Macaca mulatta: one gene and its partners. The main gene of each other region encodes a partner of the protein of the gene in region 3 in a complex. Links are inferred from orthologs where the notes say so. Each region holds a gene or a part of one and is shown on either strand. Other genes may lie near its edges. The genes, in order: B9D2, MKS1 and TMEM237.

The links.
Region 1: TMEM237 (region 3) and B9D2 share a complex: the UniProt entries of both Homo sapiens proteins name them as parts of the tectonic-like complex. The link is inferred for Macaca mulatta from reciprocal best matches to the Homo sapiens genes TMEM237 and B9D2.
Region 2: TMEM237 (region 3) and MKS1 share a complex: the UniProt entries of both Homo sapiens proteins name them as parts of the tectonic-like complex. The link is inferred for Macaca mulatta from reciprocal best matches to the Homo sapiens genes TMEM237 and MKS1.

What each region holds. Positions count from the first base shown.
Region 1 is NC_133424.1:52,504,893-52,512,318, forward strand, and holds the start of B9D2 (B9 domain-containing protein 2), read right to left. Parts: upstream 4,988-7,426; 5' UTR 4,774-4,987; intron 4,680-4,773; exon of another isoform or gene 4,603-4,679; intron 4,360-4,602; 5' UTR 4,356-4,359; coding exon 4,268-4,355; intron 1-4,267. UniProt on the Homo sapiens protein: Component of the tectonic-like complex, a complex localized at the transition zone of primary cilia and acting as a barrier that prevents diffusion of transmembrane proteins between the cilia and plasma membranes.
Region 2 is NC_133421.1:51,777,096-51,784,400, reverse strand, and holds the end of MKS1 (tectonic-like complex member MKS1), read right to left. Parts: intron 7,261-7,305; coding exon 7,204-7,260; intron 5,845-7,203; coding exon 5,802-5,844; intron 5,547-5,801; coding exon 5,481-5,546; intron 4,035-5,480; coding exon 3,964-4,034; intron 3,627-3,963; coding exon 3,557-3,626; intron 3,455-3,556; coding exon 3,347-3,454; intron 3,183-3,346; coding exon of another isoform or gene 3,157-3,182; exon of another isoform or gene 3,014-3,156; intron 2,828-3,013; coding exon of another isoform or gene 2,754-2,827; exon of another isoform or gene 2,673-2,753; coding exon 2,539-2,672; intron 1,993-2,538; coding exon 1,910-1,992; intron 1,825-1,909; coding exon 1,727-1,824; intron 1,645-1,726; coding exon 1,553-1,644; coding exon of another isoform or gene 1,464-1,552; 3' UTR 899-1,463; downstream 1-898. UniProt on the Homo sapiens protein: Component of the tectonic-like complex, a complex localized at the transition zone of primary cilia and acting as a barrier that prevents diffusion of transmembrane proteins between the cilia and plasma membranes.
Region 3 is NC_133417.1:106,787,475-106,794,797, forward strand, and holds the start of TMEM237 (transmembrane protein 237), read right to left. Parts: upstream 4,202-7,323; 5' UTR 4,118-4,201; coding exon 4,076-4,117; intron 3,419-4,075; exon of another isoform or gene 3,379-3,418; coding exon of another isoform or gene 3,361-3,378; intron 1,674-3,360; coding exon 1,642-1,673; intron 1,005-1,641; coding exon 1,000-1,004; intron 1-999. Other genes in the region: MPP4 (MAGUK p55 subfamily member 4), read right to left, coding at 6,189-6,380. UniProt on the Homo sapiens protein: Component of the transition zone in primary cilia. Required for ciliogenesis.

The DNA of each region.
Region 1 (7,426 bases), on a different chromosome or scaffold from region 3:
GTGGCTCATGCCTGTAATCCCAGTACTTTGGGAAGCCAGGGCAGGTGGATCACTTGAGGTCAGGGGTTCGAGACCAGCCTGGCCAAAATGGCGAAACTCCATCTCTACTAAAAACACACACACACACACACACAAACACACACACACACACACAAATTAGCCCCAGGTATGGTGGCGCACGCCTATAATCCCAGCTACTCGGGGCGCTGAGGTAGGAGAATCGCTTGAATCCAGGAGGTGGAGGTTGCAGTGAGCTGAGATCGCACCACTGCACTCCAGCCTGGGCAACAGAGAAAGACTCTGTCTCAGAAACTAACTAACAAACAAAAACCCAAGCCAAACCAAGCCAAGCAAAGAATATAAAAATTAGCCAGGTATGGTGGCTCATGCCTGTAGTACCAGCTACTTAGGAGGCCAACGTGGGAGGATCACCTGAGCCCAGGGAAGTTGAGGCTGCAGTGAGCCATGATTGTGCCACTGCACTCCAGCCTCAGCGACAGAGTGAGCCCCTGTCTCAAAAAAAAAAAAAAAAAATCAAAGAAAGAGAGAAGTTGTACTGAGTATGGCCGGGTGTGGTGGCTCATGCCTGTAATCCCAGCACTTTGGGAGGCCGAGGCAGGCAGATCATGAGGTCAAGAGATCGAGACCATCCTGGCCAACATTCTGAAACTCTGTCTCTACTAAAAAAAATAACAAAAATTAGCTGGGCATGGTGGCGCACGCCCGTAGTCCTAGCTACTCAAGAGGCTGAGGCAGGAGAATCGCTTGAACCCAGGAGGCGGAGGTTGCAGTGAGCCAAGATGTTCCCATTGCACTCCAGTGTGGGCAACAAGAGTGAAACTCCATCTCAGAAAAAAATAAGAAAATACACCGAGTACTTACTAAATCCCAGATGCTATGCTAAGCACTTTAGGCAATGCATTCATTTAATTCACCCTCTAGGACTCTTAATTCCCTCCTCACTCCCCAGTTTACACTCTCCACCATGGCCCACATGGCCTGGCTCTTGCTCCCGTCCCTGAGTTCATCTCCCATCACTCTCCCCATCCCTCATCACCCTCTGGCCTCACTGTCCCACTTCTGTCTTCCCACCTCAGGGCCTTTGCACTGGCTGTTCCCTCTGCCTAGAAAGCTCTGCTCCTGGATGTCCCCATCCCTAGCTTTTGTTTTCATCCTTCAGGGCCCAGCTCAAGTGCCACTTCCACAGAGGGGTTCTCCCTGACCCTCTTCTCCAAACACTAGTTTCTGTCACATCTTTTCTTTTCATCCTAGCACTTACCACTGTCTGTAATCACGGTGCTGCTTTCTTTTTTTTTTTTGAGGAGGAGGAGACAAGATCTCCCTCTGTCACCCAGGCTGGAGTGCAGTGGCACAATCACAGCTCACTGCAATCAACCTCCCAGGATCAAGCAATCCTCCCACCTCAACCTCCCGAGTAGTTGGAACCACAGGCACACATCACTATGCTCTGCTAATTTGTGATTTCTTTGTAGAGACGGGGGTCTCACTATGCTGCCCAGGCTGGTCTCAAACTCCTGGGCTCAAGTGATCCTCCTGCTCCGGTCTCCCAAAGTGCTGGCATTACAGGGGTGAGTCACCACACCCAACTGCACTCGTTTATCTGTTTCTTTTCTTTTCTTTTTTTTTTTTTTTCTGAGACAGAGTTTTGCTCCTGTTGCCCAAGCTGGAGTACAACGGCACCATCTCGGCTCACTGCAACTTCCACCTCCCGGGTTCAAGTGATTCTCCTGCCCCAGCCTCCCAAGTAGCTGGGATTACAGGCACATGCCACCATGCCCAGCTAATTCTTTGTATTTTTAGTAGAAATGGGGTTTCACCATGTTAGCCAGGCTGGTCTCAAACTCCTGACCTCAGGTGATCTGCCTTTCTCAGACTCCCAAAGTGCTGGGATTACAGGCATGAGCCACCGTGCCTGGCCTGCTTATTTATTTTCTGTCTCCCCTACCGTATGGCCCAGGAAAACAGGGACCTTGCACACTGCTGGATCTCCAAGACCACAAACCCAGCTCTTGGTATACAGAAGGTGCTCAATAAATGTTTCTTGGACAAATTAGTGATCCTAGGAGTTGGGAGCTAATATAATCCCCATTTAACAGGTAAAGACACAGGCTCTGAAAAGGTAAGTTCATGAACATTTATTGAGCACCTGCTGTGTGCCAAGCACTGTTTTCCATGCTGGTGACATAGCTGTGACTATAGCAGACCAAGGTCCCATCATGGAACTGGATTCAGACTCAGCTCTAACTGCAGAGCCCAAGCCGTTCATCCAACTGCCTCAGTATTCTTGGCTGGGTCAACACCCCCAGCAACTCCCTGAAGTAATAAAAATCAGGTTAGTCATTACTCCCTTCTGGGCTGAGTGAGGGAAGCACCAGGCCCTCAGTCAGGCTGCTTAAAAGCAAGATTTCCCAACAGCCCTATGAAGAACAGATGAGGAAACTGAGGTTCTAAGAGGGGATGGCATCTGCCCAGGGTCACAGAGAAGGTGAGTGGTGGCGTGGAACCTGGAAACCAAGTCTGACTCCAGAGTCTGCCTCTCTTCCATCAACTGGAGGGTCCTGATTTCCTGGGAATCTCAACTTCTACCTCACTTACCTGTAGAATCAAAAAGGACCAGAGGCCAGGGGCAGTGGCTCACACCTGTACTCCCAGCACTTTGGGAGATCTAGGCGGGCGGATCACTTAAGGCCAGGAGTTCGAGACCAGCCTGGCCAACATGATGAAACACCATCTCTACTAAAAATACAAAAATTAGCTGGGTGTGGTGGTGGACGCCTGTAATCCCAGCTACTCGGGAGGCTGAGGCAGGAGAATCACTTGAACCCAGGAGGCAGAGATTGCAGTAAGCCGAGATTGTGCCACTGCACTCCAGCCTGGCGACAGAGTGAGACTCTGTCTCAAAAAAAAAAAAACGGCCAGGCGCGGTGGCTCACGCCTGTACTCCCAGCACTTTGGGAGGCCGAGACAGGTGGATCACGAGATCAGAAGATCGAGACTATCCTGGCTAACACAGTGAAATCCTGTCTACTAAAAATACAAAAAAAACTAGCCGGGCATGGTGGCGGGTGCCTATAGTCCCAGCTACATGGGAGCCTGAGGCAGGAGAATGGCGTGAACCTGGGAGGTAGAGCTTGAAGTGAGCCAAGATTGCGCCACTGCACTCCAGTCTGGGCAACAGAGAGAGACTCCATCTCAAAAAAAAAAAAAAGGGACTAAGACTCAGGCCTGAAGACATGATAATGCCAAATGGCCACATCTGTTTCATGGACATTTATCTGTGCCAGGCAACCACATACCCCAGGCTTTACAAACAAGACCCCATCAAAGTCTTGTATGAGCCAGGCAAACACTGAATGGGCACTTCATATTCCAGCCCTATTCCTATTCTAAGTGCTGTTGATATTTGTTTAGTACTCATGACAACTTCAACAGGTAAATATTTCTATTACTCTCATTGTACAAACAGAGAAGTCGAGGTGAAGAGAAGTGCCCAAGGTCACATAATCAGCCCAAGAGTGCATTAACAAGCAATAACTAGTTTTGAACCCAGGCAGTCTGTGCTCTTAACCTCAAACCTGTGCTGCTTCTTGGCTGCTATTAGCTTCACTTTCAGACAAGGAAACTGAGGCTCAGAGAGGTCAAGTCCAAAGGTCTCCAATTAATAGAAGGGAGAGTTAGTATTTAAATCCAGATCTGGCAGCCCATGGCCCTAACCATTACACTATACCATGACTCTACAGGGCCTCAGTTGGGGAAGCATGAACAAAATTACTTTCCTGGGATGTGGTGGCTCATGTTTTTAATCCAAGCACTTTGAGAGGCTGAAGCGGATGGACTGCTTGAGCCCAGGAGTTTGAGACCAGCCTGGGCAACATAGCGAGACCCTGTCTCTACAAAAAGTTTAAAAATTAGCCACACTTGGTGGTGCGTGCCTGTAGGCCCAGCTTCTCAGGAGGCTGAGGTGGGAGGATCACTAGAGCCCAAGAGTTCGAGGCTGCAGTGAGCTATGATCACACCACCTTACTCCAGCCTGGGCGACAGAGAGAGACCCTGTCCGTAGCCCCTGCACAAACGAAAAAACAGATGGGAGCTTGAGACTCACGTGGACAGGGTGTGGGCTAAGCCTGGAGTACAGAGAGCTGATGGAAGATGAGGTTAAGGCGCTGCGTTAACAGGTCGAGGAAGGAGCATGCAGCCTCTAGGCTAGGGGTCTTGGTGTGGAAATTAACCAGGCCTGGGGGAATACCTGTGTGAATGCCCCACTTGCAGAACAGGCTACTTTCCGAGAAACCGCTGGCCCCCATGATCTGCCCGATCACGTGCACCTCAGCCATGGCCCTGGGATGGGAAAAAATATAATCACAACCCTGTGAGGTAAGTATATTATCTCCATTTGACAGGAGGGGAAACTGAGGCCCAGCAAGTAAAGGGTAGTACTAGGATTCCAAGCTAGCTTCCTCACACCCCTGAGGCTGAGGTCTTGACCACAGATCCTAATTGCCAACCCATGAAAGCCTGGAAAAAATGGGGGGACCCTTGTCTGGGGGGAACCAGCATTTAACTCTGCGAGGTCTAAAATACCTTCTTTGGGTTCAGGTCAGCGGAAAGCCCCGCCCACGAGCGAAAAGACCCGCCTTCCGCGTCATGTCAGCCACCCCGCTTCCCTCACCCAGCAAGCTCTATAAGGCGCATGCGTTGAGTTCCGGGCCGACTTAGCCACGCCTCCAAGCGCAGCGCATGCGTTATTCCTACCTTAGCGCACTTAACGGTTAGGAGGGGCGAAAGCGGCAACGGGGGTTGTAGTTCATGGGGTTGAGTTGACTCGTTTTTTTCTCCGCGGGCGCCTACCAGGCCTGGCTCGCGCCTTTCCCAGGACCTTCCCGGCTGCGAGAAATGGAATCCGCGATATTCCGCGTCCGCGCTCGCCTTGGGTTCCGTGGTTGTTGCTGGAGCAACAGCAGGCTCCTCCCCTGGCTTTGTACTCGCCCTCCGCGCCACTGATTGGTGTTAGCCGTCCCCGGGAGGCGGGGTGAAACTGTGATGGACATTTTCCTCCTCTCGCTCCATTTTGGGAAAATAGCGTCTCTCCAGCTACGGCAAAGGGTTCCGCCATTTTGGCCGTGGCTAGGAAGCTGCCATGTTGAGTGTGGCTGAGGAAGTTTGAGTGCAGTTTCTCCCAGATGTCCTCTTTACCAAAAAAAGCAAATCCGTAACTGCTCCGTGCTGCGTGAGGACCCCACCGAAGAGCTCTCTATGGTCCGGGATCACAAATCAGAGACTGAACTATGACCAAGGAGGAATTCCTTCCAGGACCTCATGTACATCCCCTACCTCATAACTGGAAAACAAAGCAAAAAAAATCACTCCTCATTCACAGAGAGTGGAGAAATTGGGGAGTGGGTTCTGCTTCCGTTTTAGAGTTCCCCTAGGTTTTTCAAGGACAAGGAAGGAAGTTGGACTTACCCAACTTCTACCAAGCTACTACCAAGTTCACTGTTAAACTGCTTGAGTCTGAGCAAGGAACCGTTGGGGTAGCGAAGAGAAATGAGGAACTGGGATCCCCTTATTTGCAGAAAATCCTCTTTTCTATTGATTGATTTCTCAATCAAGAAATGGAGATGTCCCTGGATGCCATCATAGATGCCATCATTTCCCACATCAAGCCAGTCATCAGGTCCCATCAAGACTCCATAAAAGGGTCGCACTGTGTAACCCAGGCTGGAGTACGGTGGCTTGATCACAGCTCACTGCAGCCTCTGAACTCCTGGGTTCAAGGGATCCTCCTACCTCAGCCTCCCATGTAGCTGGCATCACACACATGCGCCACCACGGCTGGCTAATTCTTTTTTTTTTTTTTTTTAAGAGATGGAGTCCTGCTGTGTTGCTGTGTTGCCCAGCCTTTGTCTTGACCTCCTGGGCTCTAGCTAGCCTCCCAGTTTGCTCTCCCATACTGCCGGGATTACAGACCTGAGCCACCCAGCCAGGCCAATAGACACGAGTATTTAAAAGCCACCCTTGGCTAGGCTCATGACTGTAATCCCAGCCCTTTGGAAGGCTGAGGCGGGAAGAGCTGTTGAGGCCAGAAGGTCGAGTATAGTGAGACCCCCATCTCTACAAAAATAACAAAATAATGCATATATCAACTAGTGAAATATTCCAGTGAATTGTTTAATATAAATGTTATCCTACTGAAATGTTGCCCCCTCCTTATAATTTTGGATTTTTGTTAGTTTTTTTTTTTCTTTTTTTTGAGATGGAACCTCGCCTTGTCGCCCAGGCTGGAGTGCAGTGGCGCGATCTCAGCTTACTGCAACCTCTGCCTCCCAGTTCAAGCAATTTTCCTGCCTCAGCCTTCCAAGTAGCTGGGACTACAGGCGCACACCACCACACCCAGCTAATTTTGTATTTTTAGTAGAGATGGGTTTTTTATATCTTTCTGGATGCTGTGTGGGTGAGGAAGACAGCTCTAACCTTTCAGCTCTTGGGGCCTCTGGTCCCCTAGTGGTGGCATCAGCCTTGCTCTCTCTTTTCTCAAGCCCTCATTTTGTCCATCAGGAAATCTTAACTGTCTCTACTTTTGAAATGCACCCTAAAATCCACTTCTCACCTCTTTGTCGCCCAACACCTTCATCTGTCCAAGTTCATCTATCACCTGGACTATGACAGGGACCTTGTCTCTGGGGTCTCCTTTCCCAACCCTCCTAGTCTGCAGCCCACATGCATCTGGAACCCTGTGAACACCTAAGTCAGGTCCCATCTGCTCAAACCCCTCTAGTGGTCCCCATTTCACTCAGGGTAAAAGCCAAAGTCTTACCATGCATGACAAGGCTCTCCACAACCTGGCTGGCACCTCCTGCCTCCATTTTGTATTTTTAGTAGAGACAGGATTTCGCCATGTTGGCCAGGCTGGTCTCAAACTCCTGACCTCAGGTGATCCACTCACCTTGGCCTCCCAAAGTGCTGAGATTACAGGCATGAGCCACTGCTCCCAGCTGGGGTCTTCATTCTGAAGGCTCCCATGTATACATGTTAAATAAGAGAAAAAAAAATTACTGTCAACCATAAATAACAAGATTCAGAAAATATCATTGAGGCCGGATTCAGTGGTTCATGCCCGTAATCCCAGCACTTCGGGAGGCCAAGGCGTGTGGATACCCTGAGGTCAGGAGTTCGAGACCTGCCTGGTCAACATATAGTGAAACCCCGTCTCTACTAAAGATATCAAAACTAGATGGGTGTGGTGGCACATGCCTGTAGTGTCAGCTACTTGGGAAGCTGAGGCAGAAGAATCACTTGAACCTGGGAGGCGGTAGTTGCAGTGAGCCGAGATCACACCACTGCACTTCAGCCTGGGCGACAGAGCAAGACTTCTACTCTCTAAAAAGAAAAAAAAGTCCGGGCGCAG
Region 2 (7,305 bases), on a different chromosome or scaffold from region 3:
AGGGATACCGTACTCTTTCCAAGTGGCTTCCCAATGTACTAGCTTCTGGGCTGACAGTCAATCCCAGGCCCTAGGACTTTGGTGAGGAAATTAGGAGCATCCAACTATCCTCAGTTTGGTCACTAATACCCAAAAACAGCTCCATTTCTAAATGTCCAGTAAATTCCTCACTTATCCGTTCTGTTACTTCCACAGGAGTCTATCCCAAGCCTCCAACTTTTGGAGACAAGGAGAAGGGGAGGACCATGAAGCTGCCTTGTCCCCCTGGAGCAACTGCCGCCTGCTGACGCTTCTGCTGGCTACAGCTCAGAGCTGGGTTCCCCAGCCGGGAGTGAGAGCTGGGGGCTCCTAGCAGCAATGGACCTTCCCGCCGTGGGAGTCTCTTAGGTATTAGGTTATGAATCAGTGCCACGTGCAAAGGCTTGGGAGCCAAGCTATGTTGTCTTGCACCCCAGGCAAGAAAAGTCAGCTGGAGGGTTTACAGCACTTTCTACTGTTTCCCAGCCCTCCCTCCCCTCCCTCACCGTGACTGAGAGACCACTCAGTCCTAGCCTGCAGAGACCCCACAGTCCTCCTCTGAGCCTGAGGCTGGGCAGCATGCTCTGCTTCTACCAATAAAGCACTGCTAAGGGCAGGGGCTGCTGTTTCTGTGTGGGGCTAGGGAGGACGTGGCCTCAGTTCCATGCTTTGCTCCAGGTGTTGAAGAGAAGTGCTGCTAACACGCACGCTGGCACAACCATCTAAGCCTCTCCTGGGGGCTGAATTAGGAGAGCCCAAAGAAACACTGTGGAGTAGGGAAAGGCAGAAAAGAGGAAGGGCAGACATGGTAGGGCCCTGACATTAAGAAGAACACCCCAGCCATACCAGCAACCTGAGCAGACAAACAGCCAACGGAACATCAGTCAAAATAAAAGGGGTTTATGGATTTAAAAAACCCAAAAAACAAAAAGAACACAGTAAAAGATACCAACCAGCTAGCAGAAAGGACTCAGCACTGCCTTCAACCTTCACCTACTCAGAAATAACTCATATCTCAACCTCAGCAAGCCCCAAGCAGTAGAATGAGGCTGCCCTGGAAAGAGGAGGCTGAGACTCACAGGCTGGGGATTTAAGACCCCTCTCACCGTCCACCTTCCTTCCTTCCTTCTTTGGTCTTGCAAGAAGGAAGGCTCCATTTTTAAAGGCTGGAGAACAGCAGATCCCTGCATCCCCCTGCTACTGTGAGACAAGCCAGAAAAGTGAGTCAAGGCCATACTCACTATGGGGTCACCCCAAACAGCTTCAGACCAAAAAGCCTGCCTTGCTGTGATGCCCATTTACAGTGACTGCAAACATGAAGGGGGGGCCACAGGGTCTCTGGCTTTATTTCCCCAGGGTAGGGAGAAAACCCTGCAGAAGGCTAGGCAGAGGGGCCAGCTGGGAATTTCCCAGCTCTTCTGGTTCCCAGCAGACCAGCGTGGTCTCTAGTCAGACAGACGAAGAGGCAGGAGAGCACTGGCCTCAAACATCCCCCATCTTGTCCTCTTGCACTGTGGCCCAGGGCTGCTGTGAGCTAGGAGACCAGGGTTCCAGAGGGGCTCACTAGGTCCTGCGGGAGGCTTTCCCGGGCCTCCTGCATGCGGCGCCGGGCTCGACGGAAGGCCTCTGTAAGGAAAGGAGATATGGTATTTGGCTGCCCAACAGGCCCATGCTGACCCGGGGTGGCCAGCTTGGGGAGGGGACATACCCAGCACATTGTGAATGGAACTCTGCTGGCTGAACCCTTCCAGACGGTCCAACACACTCCGCATCCTTTTCCGAAGGGAGCTCGATTCCATGAAGGCCCTGCAGGGAGGCCAGCCACATGGTTACGGCTGTTCTCCACCCCTCAGGGATAAGGTGCCCCGAGGCAGAGGGCCAGGTCCCTCACCTGGACTGCTGCAGACAGTGCAAGCGGAAGGTGACGGTGCCTGTGGTCTCTGTGCGGAGTCCAAAGCGGCTCAGGCGTTCCCCCTGCGGCATGCCATTGGGAGAGCATCAGGTTTCTGCCGTCTCTAGACACCCCCGCAGTATGCTGGCCTCGCCCCGGTTCTTATTCCCATTCTTAGGAAGCACAGTTCTGTTGGGGAAACCTTATTCCATCACCCAGACTCTATTACCTCAAGGCTAATACTGGGCTACTGGGCTCCCCCAACTACACCAGGGAACATTCCAACCTCATCTGAGAGGCAGCGGTCTTACATGCTTACTGTGAATCCTTCCCACATCTGATTACTGAGGCCTTCAGTGACGGGGGAAAGAAAGAGCCCGTTATTCTGATGGGGACCAAGGGAAATCTCTAACTATACTATTTTCCAGAGACCTCCTATGATAGCAGTGTAGATATTGGAACCTGGTTCAAAATGTGGTCCTGACTTCCAGCTTAAGCCATAGGAAGGAAGCGGCTAATATTGAAGCAATGCACAACTAAGGGGTGTTGACCCAGATCCCACCTCCTACAGAACAGAAGGACAGGACCATCAGTTCCCAGCATGAAGTCGCTCCAAAGACAAAAGTCACCTTGAAGGATCCTGGTATCCGCACATAGGAGAGGTCCTCCAGTTCCAGAGAACCGCCAATGAAAAACCTCCTGAGCTCAGCCACCATGCCAAGCTCCACAGGTCTCCATGTGGAGACTGTCAGGGTGTGTGAGCCTGCGTAAGGGAAGAGGAGACTGGGGCCGGGTCCAGAAAGGGCATGTGGCCCCTCACTGACTCCCCAGCAATGACACAGGCCTAGACTTTGCTAAAACACCTGGTCTGGTGATGACCTGGCCTCTGGTGAAGGTTGTCATGGTTACCCATAGCACCTGTTTGGAAGTCAATCAGGGAGAAATTCAAATTTCTGCTCTGCCAGTTATTCCCTGCATACCCAGGACAGGTTTCTTAACCTCCCTGAAGTTCATTCTCCTCATCTAGTAAAATGGAAATAATACCACCTGCACCGCACAGAGTGGCTGGGAGAATAAGTGAGAAGTATGGCACAATGCCTGGCACACAGTAGAAGACAGATGCTTTTATTCCAAACTGAATGCTGCTTCATTCCATACACACATGCTATGAGCCGATTTTGCCATACAGCTTCTCACCCTGAGTCCAATCAGAGGAGCACGAAGCACATGGCAAGACTGTCAGGAAGTCAGCGCCAAGGCCACGCTATTGTCTCTAGTGGAGTGGGGCAGATAGTCCTCAGAGGAACAGGAACTCTTTCAAGCCAAATGCTTCTAATTCCCAGCTATCCCCACCCCTCACCAGAAGCATTCGAGTGTTAGTCTTGCTCGTAGGGCCTAGGGCATGTGAGCCACGGAAGGGCGGGGACAAGCGGTTACCTGGAGTGGCAGGCAGCACCACAGCCCCATAGCCTTCCACACGGTACCTCTGCCAGAAGTCCAGCGAGAGGACCTCACAGTAGAGCACAGGCCACTCCGGGAGTGCATCTGGGAGAAACGAGAGAAGCGGCCAGGTCACAGGCGGGCCTTCACCAAGACAGCACTGCTTGAGGGGAACCAAGGCCCAGGATCAACTGCTGAGCTACTCACCAGAAGATTCATCCTCATGGAGGAAGAAGGCTTCAAATGTGAATGGGTAGGAGAAGTGAGCCACCTTGTCCTATAAAAAGGAGTGTCATAGGGTGGGCAAGCCCTCCCTTGGAATTTGTTCTCCTTGTGGCCAATGACAAGGTTATCTTCACAAGGGAAAAAGAAAAATTATCACCCAGGTGGGAAATAGGAGTCTGAGATGCAAAGGGACACCCGAAGACAAGCTGCTGCCATGCTCAAAAAGGCAGAGAGGACCTCCGGGCCAGGTAGCCCTGCAGAACCCACACACAAGTCACCCAACTCAGAATCCTCCCCAGGGTGCACAGCACTTGGCCTGACAAAACCTCAAATGCCATCCCAGGAGCAGATCTCATTCCCTTCCAGATACCCGCTCTCATTCTCCATACCACTCCCAGGGACTTGGTGGTGCATGTCTGTGTTACTCCTGAGAGCTGCTGGAATGCTGGGCTTGACCAGTCTGAAAGCCAAAGAACAAATATAGTAAGCTCACCTGGGAGGAAAGCAAGTCGTTCAGAAAAAGACAAAGTTTCTTTATTCATTTATTCACACAATCTATCATTCATTTATCATTTACTGAGTGCCTGCTATGTGCTAGTATATCTTAGGGGTATCTTGGTAACTAGATAGAAAAGATCCCCATCTCTCATGGAGCTGACATTCTGGGGGAATCAGGGAGACAAAAAACAAACCAACAAGAGACTATTGGGTAGTGATGAGTGCTCTATTCAAACAAAACGGGAAGGGACTGAGTGACTGGGAGGCTCATTTAGGCCGGGTGGTAAGAGAAGGCCTTTCAGAAGTGACACAGGTTGAGACCTAAACTCAGAAAGAACCAGCCATGCTAAGATATGGCAGAAAGGGTTTCAGACAAAGGAAACGGCCCTTAAAAGGTTCTAAGGGGGGAATGAACCTGGCTGGGAAGAACGACTGAAATGTTGTACGGAAGAGATAGGCAGAGGCTCATTCAGGGTATTGAGTTTACATTTTATTCTAAGTGGGAGGCGAAGCTCTTGGGGGTTTTCAGCTCAAAAGGGACATAACTTGTTTACATTTTTTAAAACTCAACTTGGCTTTGGTGTCTGTGGCAAATGAACTGCAAATGGGAGCAAGGCAGGAAGCAGGGGGATAAGTCAGAAGTTGAATGCATTGGCCTAGACAAGAGACGGTGGTGGCTTGGTGTAGGGTGCTGGAGAGAACAGACAGGTTCACAACAGCTTTCGAAGACAGAACGCACAGGAACTGTTGACAGATTGGCTGGCTATAGGGAGCTAGGGAAAGTGAGGGATCAAGGATGTCCCCTAGGTTTTTGGCATCAGCAACTCAGATACTGCCATTCTGTTAGGATGGGGAATACCAGGGAGGAGAGGTTTGAGGGAAGAGGAGGAATCCAGAGTTCTCTTTGATCATGTTAGACAGAAATGACAAAGAGGTAACTGGATACGAGTCTGGCGTCCAGGCTAAGGCTGGAGGCAGAAACCTGGGAGTCTGAGACACATCGATGGTATTTAAGCCATGGGATGGATGAGGTCACCCAGGAAGACTGCAGACAGAGAGTAACAGAAGGCCTTGGCTTAGCCATGGGTACCCTCACGGTGTAAGATCAGCAGAAGAGAAGGCATTACCCAAGGAAGGTGAGGGGCCACCAGTGAGACAGGAGAGAGAATGTGGAGCCAGAAGCCAGAGAAGTGTGTCATGCAGCACAGTGGGCTCTGGCAAATGCTTCAGGAAGGTCAAGCGAGGTGAAAGCAGGAAAGTTCCCACTGGGTTTGGCAAAGTGGATGTGATCTACAACCTTGAAAAGAACAGTAACAGTTTCAGCAGAGGAGTGGGAAAGGAAGCCTGACCAAATGCCTCTACATCTGTCTGAATGGGTATAAAAGAGAGACTTAAGAATATTACTTACGAGTAGTTGGCAATTCCACAAAGAAGTGGACGTAGAGATTGTCATACTCATAGCCTTGGGCTGAAACTAAGAGAGAAAACAGGAAGCTATTTTAGCTTTTTATCCTACCACCCTTAGCACCCAACCCAGTCCTGAGGGTCCAACACACCCTGAGAGCAAGTCTTTTGAGGGCCAGGAACCCTCTGCATTTCCAGGAAAGACTCACCACTGAGTTTCCCAAGTACAGCAGACAAGACCTCTACCAGGGTGGAGGAGACTATTCACGGCTACATCTAGGCACGTGCCTTAGCATCAAGAGATCTATGCTAGCAAGACACTTACCTACCTCTCCATTTACAAAGAGCCGGAGGGCACCTGGGACAGTCTAAGGTGAAGAGAAGTGGGAAAGGATCAGCAGGCCTGAAGGGAACTGGCACTTCTCCTCCAGCCTCATCTACAAATCTGCAGATATCCTGACACTGGGGGTCAGATCCTGGGTGTCACTACTGCACTTTCTCCCCACCCTGACACTTCTCCACAGATCTGTTTCCTTCATTCCTAAGATACATAATGTAAGGGGAAAGTACATAATTTAAATGGCAGTAAGGACAATGCACTATGGGAAATTAGCCAAGCAACAGCAACTGCCCTGTGGTGTGCAATAGGAAGCCAGAATGCCCGGTTCCCTTTACACAGCTGAGGTCAAGAAACCAGGGAGTTTTCTTTTTTAATTATTTGTGCATCTGTCTTATCTAACTTTTAAATACTGAATATCTGTTGCTTATGCAATATGGAAACAGTGAATGTTAATTTTTCAGAGAAAGAGAGGGAGACCAGTAATTCTATCCTTGTTTCCAGGTCTAGCGATGGAACACTTAGAACGAGAAAAGACAAAGAACAGCACGACAGAATAGCTGAACTAAACCACTTTCTTTTTTTTTTCAGACAGGGTCTTGATCTGTTGTCCAGGCTGGAATGCAGTGGTGTGATCATAGCTCAGTGCAAACTCAAACTTCTGGGCTCAAGCAATCCTGCTGCCTCAGCATCATGCATAGCTGGGACTACAGGCATGTATCACCATGACTTGCTAATTTTTTTTTTTTTTTAATTTTTGTAGGGATGTGGTCTCACTATGTTGCCCAGGCTGGTCTCAAACTCCTGGCCTCAAGTGATCCTCCCACCTTGGTCTCACAAAGTGCTGGGATTATAGTCATGAGCCACCACGTCGGGCCTATATTTTTTAAGAGCCAAAATATGTGACAAACAGAAATGGCACCCCTGCCTCTCTATGGGGTATTTTGAAAAAATATCCACATGAAAGGTGAAGAAGACATTTTTCATCCTTATATTTATTTTCTAAATTAATTATAAAGTAATACATAAATACATTACCACTGATAAAAATTCAAAACTACCTGAGTTTAGGGAATAAAAAGCAAAAATCCCTGATATATCCCTCTCACTACCCACTACCCATCTACCACATCTAATCCCACCCTCCCCAAAAAAGCCACCCACAGCATATGCGTAGCCTTTCAGGCCTTTTTCTCGGCATTAACAGTTCTCTATCAACATGCAATGTTGCAAAACACATAACAAGGACTATATGTGCTATTCTTTGACTTCCTTTTCACACCGTAGAGTATACCTTGGAGGCCTTTAAGAGAAGTGCTGTAACCCATCCACAGTCAGAATGCTCCGGCTAAACACAGCTCACAGTGCTGCAGGAAGCCAAGCTACTCACCATCTCAAAGTCAGTGCCTACGAGGCTGCTGAGATACTCCTTGTGCCGGCCATAAAGCTGAGGAAACAAACCAAACCAAAACTCAAGATGTAACCCAAGCTA
Region 3 (7,323 bases):
AAAGTGGGTTCAACAAATATTCATCTGATCCCCTACATTTCCCAGTCCCCTTGCACATAGGTGTGGTCTATGACTGGTTCTGGCCTATAGGCTGTGAGCAGGTGATCTGTGTCATTTCAGAGCCAAACGTTGAAAGAGCCAGTGAGTAATCTGTCAGCTTCTCTTCCCTTGTTGTGGTGACTGAGGAAGCCTCATGTTAAGATGGTGGGACCACAGCATAGAAGTAGCCTAGATTGCAAGCCAGGCGCAGTGGCTCACGCCTGTAATCCCAGCACTTTGGGAATCCAAGATGGGGAGATCACTTGAGCTCAGGAGTTCAACATCAGCCTGGCCAACATGGCAAAACACTGTCTCTACTAAAAATACAAAAAGTAGCCAGGCATGGTGGCACACGCCTGTAATCCCAACTACTCAGGAGGCTGAGGCAGAAGAATCACTTGAACCCAGGAGGCAGAGATTGCAGTGAGCCAAGATTGCACCACTGCACTCCAGCCTGGGCAACAGAGCAAGATACTGTCTCAAAAAAAAAAAAAAGAAGTAGCCTAGATTGCTATACCAATAGTAAAAAGGTAGTGAAAGGCAATTGTCCCCAGTTTTTGCCATAGCGGAGTTGGTATTAATTAGAAATAACCCTGTGTGATACTAAGTCACTGAGATTTGGGGGTTTTTAGTATGGTATAACCTTGTCTACCCTGACTAAATGAGACAAAGGAAGGTGCAGTCCTCGTTACAGAGCTACAAACTAGCCAACAGTTGTGTGCTCGGTGACCCCATTCAGGGATGAAGTGCTTTTATAATGGCAAGGTCATCTAGTGCTATGTATTAAAGACAATTTTTAAATGGTAGTCATGGGAGATTATTTGACAAAAACATATTGTAGAATTACAAATTACACCATTCAGATTCGGTTTTAAGATAAACAAACCAAGGAATCAAACTAATTTTTGAACACCAAATACTATATTTAGAAAATTTTATATTCACATTAAACTAACTCACCTTGACTAACATGTCATGTAACACCAAACAAATTTAATCAGCAGGACAAAGACAAAAAAGGAACAATTAATTAGAAACCTGTTAATATTCACAGTGAAAATTGACTTAAATCATTACAAATTTAAAATAAAATTAGCTTTCATGTAATAGCTAGTTTACAGACTAGTTTACTGTTTATAATTAATAAGCTGTTTAATAACACTACTAATAAAATAATGTCAATATTTTCTGAACCCACATATACATATTCCCTACTGTCTATTAATAAAGTGGATTAAGCAGATTAAGAACTCTTACTTGTCACTGATTAAAATCAGCTTAAACTCTGAGGAAACTATTCTCACAAACGAAAGATCAGAATTCTGATTAAAAAAAAAAAAAAAAACACTAAAACAGTTAGAAAGGGAATGGATCCATTATCCTACCATGATGATATTCAGGCTTTTAAATTTAACATTCAATTTTAACTGCTATTCTTATAATTCAAGGATTTTTCACCTTTAAAATTTCAGAAAATCCCTAAATTTTTCAGAAGAGTTTCCAGAATCATTGTAATTTTGCAATGATACTAGTTAATTTTTCTACTGTCTTCGTTTTCCATTTTTAAAGCTCAATAATGAAATTACTGTAAATTATGTTTACCTTGGCACAGGTGGAAGGGCTCGTGGAGGACGCTGTGGGGGAAAAAAAGAAATTTGCTTGTAAGTAAAAGCCTAGAGCATCTTTACTTCATGTATCCCAAACACCATAAAGCTATTCTTTTTTTCCTTTTTTTTTTTTTTTTTTTGAGACGGAGTATTGCTCTGTGGCCCAGGCTAGAGTGCAATGGCACGATCTTGGCTCACTGCAACCTCCATCTACTGGGTTCAAGCAATTCTCCTGCCTCAGCCTCCCAAGCAGCTGGGATTACAGGCACCCACCATCATGCCCGGCTAAGTTTTGGTTTTTTAGCAGAGATGGGTTTTGCGATGTTGGCCAGGCTGGTCTTGAACTCCTGACCTCAGGTAATCCGCCCACCTTGGCCTCCCAAAGTGGTGGGATTACAAGAGTGAACCACTATGCCCGGTGAAACCACTTCTTTCAAAAGTCTGTTGTTCAGACATGACAGAAAAATATAATGGATCGGACCAGGATCTTCAAATCTTTTGATAATCTTGTTCATTAGTGAAACCTGGGAGGTACTGATGAGAAACATGGGCAATTTAAAATTTGTTCTCCCATTCTAAATTTCATATAAAATTATTTCCTTCCTACATTCCTTTCTATCTCTAGGCCAGGCCCTTTTCTAAGCATTAGGAGTACACTAATGAACAAAACGGAGAGAACTCTGCTTTTATGGAACTTACATTCTAGTGGTTATTAGAAACAAGGTTAAATATATATAATATATACTATATATTATATGCAGCATGTGTAACATATATATGCTATATTTAAGACATATATCTTGTATACATACCTTGTGTATATATACACAAACACAAACACACAAAACGTAATGAATGAAGGAGACTGAGTGCTACTTTTGTTAGGGAAAGTTTCTCTGAGATATTTGAGCTGAGACCTGAATGAGAAAGGAGCAACCGGAACAAATGCAAAGATTTTTAGGTTAAATTGAGCCTGGAATATTTCAGGTAAAAGGACAGCAAGGCTGCCGCACAATTGCCAAGGAGGTAGGCAGGAGCCAGATTTAGTTAGGGCCTTGCAGACCAAGGCAAGGAGTTTGGATTTTGTTTTAATTCAATGGGAAACCAATGGAAGTTTTAAACCACATACTAACACAAATTTTTAAAAGGCCACTTGAATATACTGGGAAGAATGCGTTTTAGGGCAGAAAGAATGGTGGGGGGAACCCTTCTAAACGCTCATTTATATGAATAAGAAAAGTGTTTGCAGTCAGAGAGCATTACAGTTGAGAAGTATTTTCAGAATTAGATACTAAGAGAAATGCCTAGAAGCCAATTTAATGTTCCAAGTATCTCATGCTGCTTGCATAAGACATTTATTCAAAAGGGTTAAATTTTAGACATTTTTGTAGTTTGTCCCATTTAGCAATCCATTCGTTCGAACAGTAGATTAACGCAAGTACTACAAGATTAGGACGAGGCAAGCTCCCGTAATACCATCCAGTAGTCAAAATCACAACTGGAAAAGAATGACAATCACGGGAACGCGCTTGTTCTACAGATGCTACGAAACGCGCGCGATCGATCCAAGGACTCAGTTCACGAAACTGATTTCAAAAGTCCCGCAAAAATGACATTCCACCCACCCAGAGACCCAACCTCTACTCCTCAAAAGTAGGACGGCTCAACTGAAGACAAAAATCCTAACAACTAAAAGTAGCTAAGGCTCGCTTACCACAGGATTCTTCCCCATTCTGTGTTTAGCCGGCCTCGGCAGCCGCCGGCCCGCAAGCACCCCTCCCGGCTCTGTCGCGCGCGCAGGCGCAATGCGTCATCGGGCAGCGCCGCCGGGTGGGTAAGTTGGGGTGAGAGACGCGCAGGGACCTGGATTGGCCAGTCCAGACTAGCCCTGCCAAAAAAGGGGCCTCTGAGTTGGGGTAATGTGCCCAGGAGCAGAGATTCGGCGACCGTGGCGCTGCAATCGCAGCTTTCCCGTGGTTTCCTAAGTGGTCGCGGTGATTTGTTTGCGGGGAGCGAGGCGTGAGGGAAGACCTTGGTTAAAGGACTCCGCAGGCAAACAACGATCTTTTCTAGGCAGCTACTGCCCTCTCGGAGGGGGAGTCTATGAGAGGCCTGGCTGGAAGCCCCAGCACCCGCCGGGCGCTGGGCCTCAGAGAAGTGAGGCGTCGTCGTGGCAACGCGGGCTCAGGTACCCGCAAACTTCATGCCAGGCCTCTCTCCCCTACTCCAGGAGTTCGGTCCCGGCCTCGCCTGGGTCTCCGTCCCACTCCTGTGAATGCTGGAGGGGCGGACGCGCGCACCCCATGAGCAAGGCTCTCCCTTAGTGATCCCCAGCTCGTTAGCGCCCCCCACACACACCCACCCCCACCCCGCCAAGTGTAGCTGTTTACCCGCCACCCCTCGAGGCCGACGCGTCCCTCGCCGCTCACCAGGTGGCCCTCCTCCAGCCGAGCCCCCGAGTCAGCCCTCATGGTGCTCTCCCCGCGGGGCTTCCCCGGCGCAACCGCCGGCGGCCCGAGCCCAGCTCCCCGCGACGCTGCAGCCTGGCGAGGCCGCCTCCCCGTGAGCCAGGTCCCCGCCCGCCTCTGCCCTGCCAAGCATTGCTGGGTTTGGGACGAATGTGTTTACTCTCTAGGACCAACGAGTCTGTGCGGGCCTGGGTGTGTGGATGTGTATTAATATAGGCAATTCTCACATTTTCTCCGATTGCTTACCCTTCATCCCACAACTGTGTAAATCAAATTTGGAAAAACTTTTTCTTGAAGAACCTTAAAATCAAATCCGACCTCACATAAATATCACTACAAACTACTTAATTTGCATAGTTTTATTTGGTTAGGTTTTTTTTTTTTTAAGATAACTTTCACTTTAAGTAACAGAACTACAAATATTTTGAATCATGCATTCTATTTTACAGTTAAGAAAGAGATGAGAAAGATGGAAGAATGATGTGGATATGGAGAAGAGAATGATGCAGAAGATGAACAGATACAGGGACAGGGAAAGCGCCTGGAAATCTCAAATCTGGGGGAAGAAAGAGAAACAGGACTTTGTAATGGCATCCTAATCTTGTTACCAAACAAACGGGGTTTGTTGCCCTATATGCACAGAAGCCAATATTATGATGCTGGTTTTTTGAGAAAAGTTGTTATTGCGAGTCAACTAACAAGGAGACAGGAGTATAGCTCTAATCTGTCTCCCTGTGCTGGCTTTAAGACAGTATTTTTATTAGAAAAGGTTTAGGGAATGGATTCTGGGATTAGTAAATGATTGGTGGAAGGAAAGAAGCCATCTGGAAAATCTTTTGGCGTTCGCGGTTACCTCTTCATGTCGCTTCATGGGTCGCATGTGCAAATTTTGGAGGGAGTCAGTATGAAACATGGGGGAAGACTCGAGCTGTAACGCCAGCAAGCTCATTTTGTACAGACTTCAGGTAGCCATCCGTGTTAGTCCTAACCAATTTCAGCCAGTTTGCTTTATTTTGTTTTTTAATCTCACAATAGAAGAAGTTTAGGCGTTTTAGCAAATTGTTTTTTATCTGCTGTCCTGCACGCTCAAGAATTTCTGTTAGTCCCTGGTTTAACTCTGAGACACGGTTTCAATCTTGTGATTCTTCTATATATAGGTCTCCTGGACTAATCCATTGCCTTTTCTAATTTAGGCATGCATGTAGACATTGGCTGTAAGGAAAATTCGTGTTTGTCACACCTCTGATGAGAATAATTTTTTCCTTGTAGGCTGATTTGTAAATAGTGAAGGCAGTGCAGTTTTTTGTAGGTTTTGATTTTAGATGTGAAATGTGCATATTAAACCTTTCTTGCTGAATTAAGTAAGCACTTTTGGTAAAAGATGTTTTCTTTTTTTTTTTTTTTTTTGAGACGGAGTCTCGCTGTGTCTCCCAGGCTGGAGTGCAGTGGCGTGATCTCGGCTCACTGCAAGCTCCGCCTCCCGGGTTCACGCCATTCTCCCGCCTCAGCCTCCCAAGTAGCTGAGACTACAGGCGCCCGCCACCACGCCCGGCTAGTTTTTTGTATTTTTAGTAGAGACGGGGTTTCACCATGTTAGCCAGGATAGTCTCGATCTCCTGACCTCGTGATCCACCCGCCTCGGCCTCCCAAAGTGCTGGGATTACAGGCTTGAGCCACCGCGCCCGGCCAAAAGATGTTTTCATAAAACACGTTTCATAGAGTAAAATACAATTTCTGAAGTTAAATATTGCTTATTATATTTAGGAAAGCTCTTTATTTAAATCTTTAAAAGATATGAAATCTGCAAAAGGTTCTCATACTCAGTGACTTAACATTATTCATATTTCTACTACAGCTGCATATGAGATAAAGGAAAAAAAATTTTTAAGAGCCAAATAGGTAACTACATAACCATACAATAAAAATTTTTTCAAATAAGATTAATTAATAAACTACTGCACTTTTAAAGTTGTACACATTATAATGGGTCAAATACTGCTGTTTTAGATTGCAACTGTGGATCGCTGTAACAAGGGCACAGTGTTAAAACTCCAGCATTAAACAAGAAGTCTCATTAAGACTCAGTATCTGAGGAAATCCATGTTGCTGGTACCCACTGAGGCTCCTCCTGAGCCTTCTGTATGGCAGACAACAACTGGGCACATGCATCATGCAAGCTGTCATTCACAATCACATGATCAAAAAATTGGCCAAACTGAGTTTCCATTCTTTGGGCTAAATTTTCCATCTCTTGTAGGTCTTCATCCTTTAGGAGAAATAGAAAAATATGGATAGTACAGACTTAATTGGACAAATGGAAAAAATACAGTTTGTTATGCTGTCACATTCAGTCGTGAAACTACTTATAAAAACAGTAAGGTCCGCAAATTTTGCACAGATGATTTTTAATAATGTTTAAAACATATTTTCTCAAAATTCTACAAAGCTAGCTAACTAGAAAGTAGTAATTTTTTTTTACCCTCTGTTAATTGAAAGAATGTTGCTAAATATAGATAAAATTATTATTTTTTTTAGACAGGGTCCCACTCTATCCCAGGCTGGCATGCAGTGGCATCATCTCAGCTCACTGCAGCCTCTGCCTCCCAGACTCAAGTGATCCTCCCACCTAGGCCTCCCAAGTAGCTGGGACTATAGGCACATACCATCATGCTCAGCTAAGTTTTGTAGAGAAAATGTAATTATTATAACAGGTATAAGCATATCCTTCCAAATTAATGTAAAGCATAAGCAAAGCTGGGAAAAATATATCACTATCCACAGTATGTCATCCTTTATTTCTTAGAAATGTATTACTGAGATAAAAGAAATTTTAATTTGTAATTTTTTAAAAATAATAAAAGACTGAAGTTTTTATTTAAAAAAATGAGGTCCAATAAATGTCTTCTAAACTACAAAACTTATGTTTTAATCTTTAATCTTAATGTCTGGTCATGTTTTGCAAAATTTAGTAATAGTTTGCAGACAGATTACTCCCCTCAACTTCCCATATGAAGTTATTTTACTCCTCCCTAAACACTTGAAACTCTAACCATATACAACATAAAACCAAAGAAAATGTACCAGTTTAAATAAAATTTAAACATAAATTTCAAGTGAACATTAATCTGATAGGAATAACATTATTTTAAAGATACAAAATGGCCACTTTCAACATGAGGATGGTATAAGCCAGTTGTATTACTGTTTCT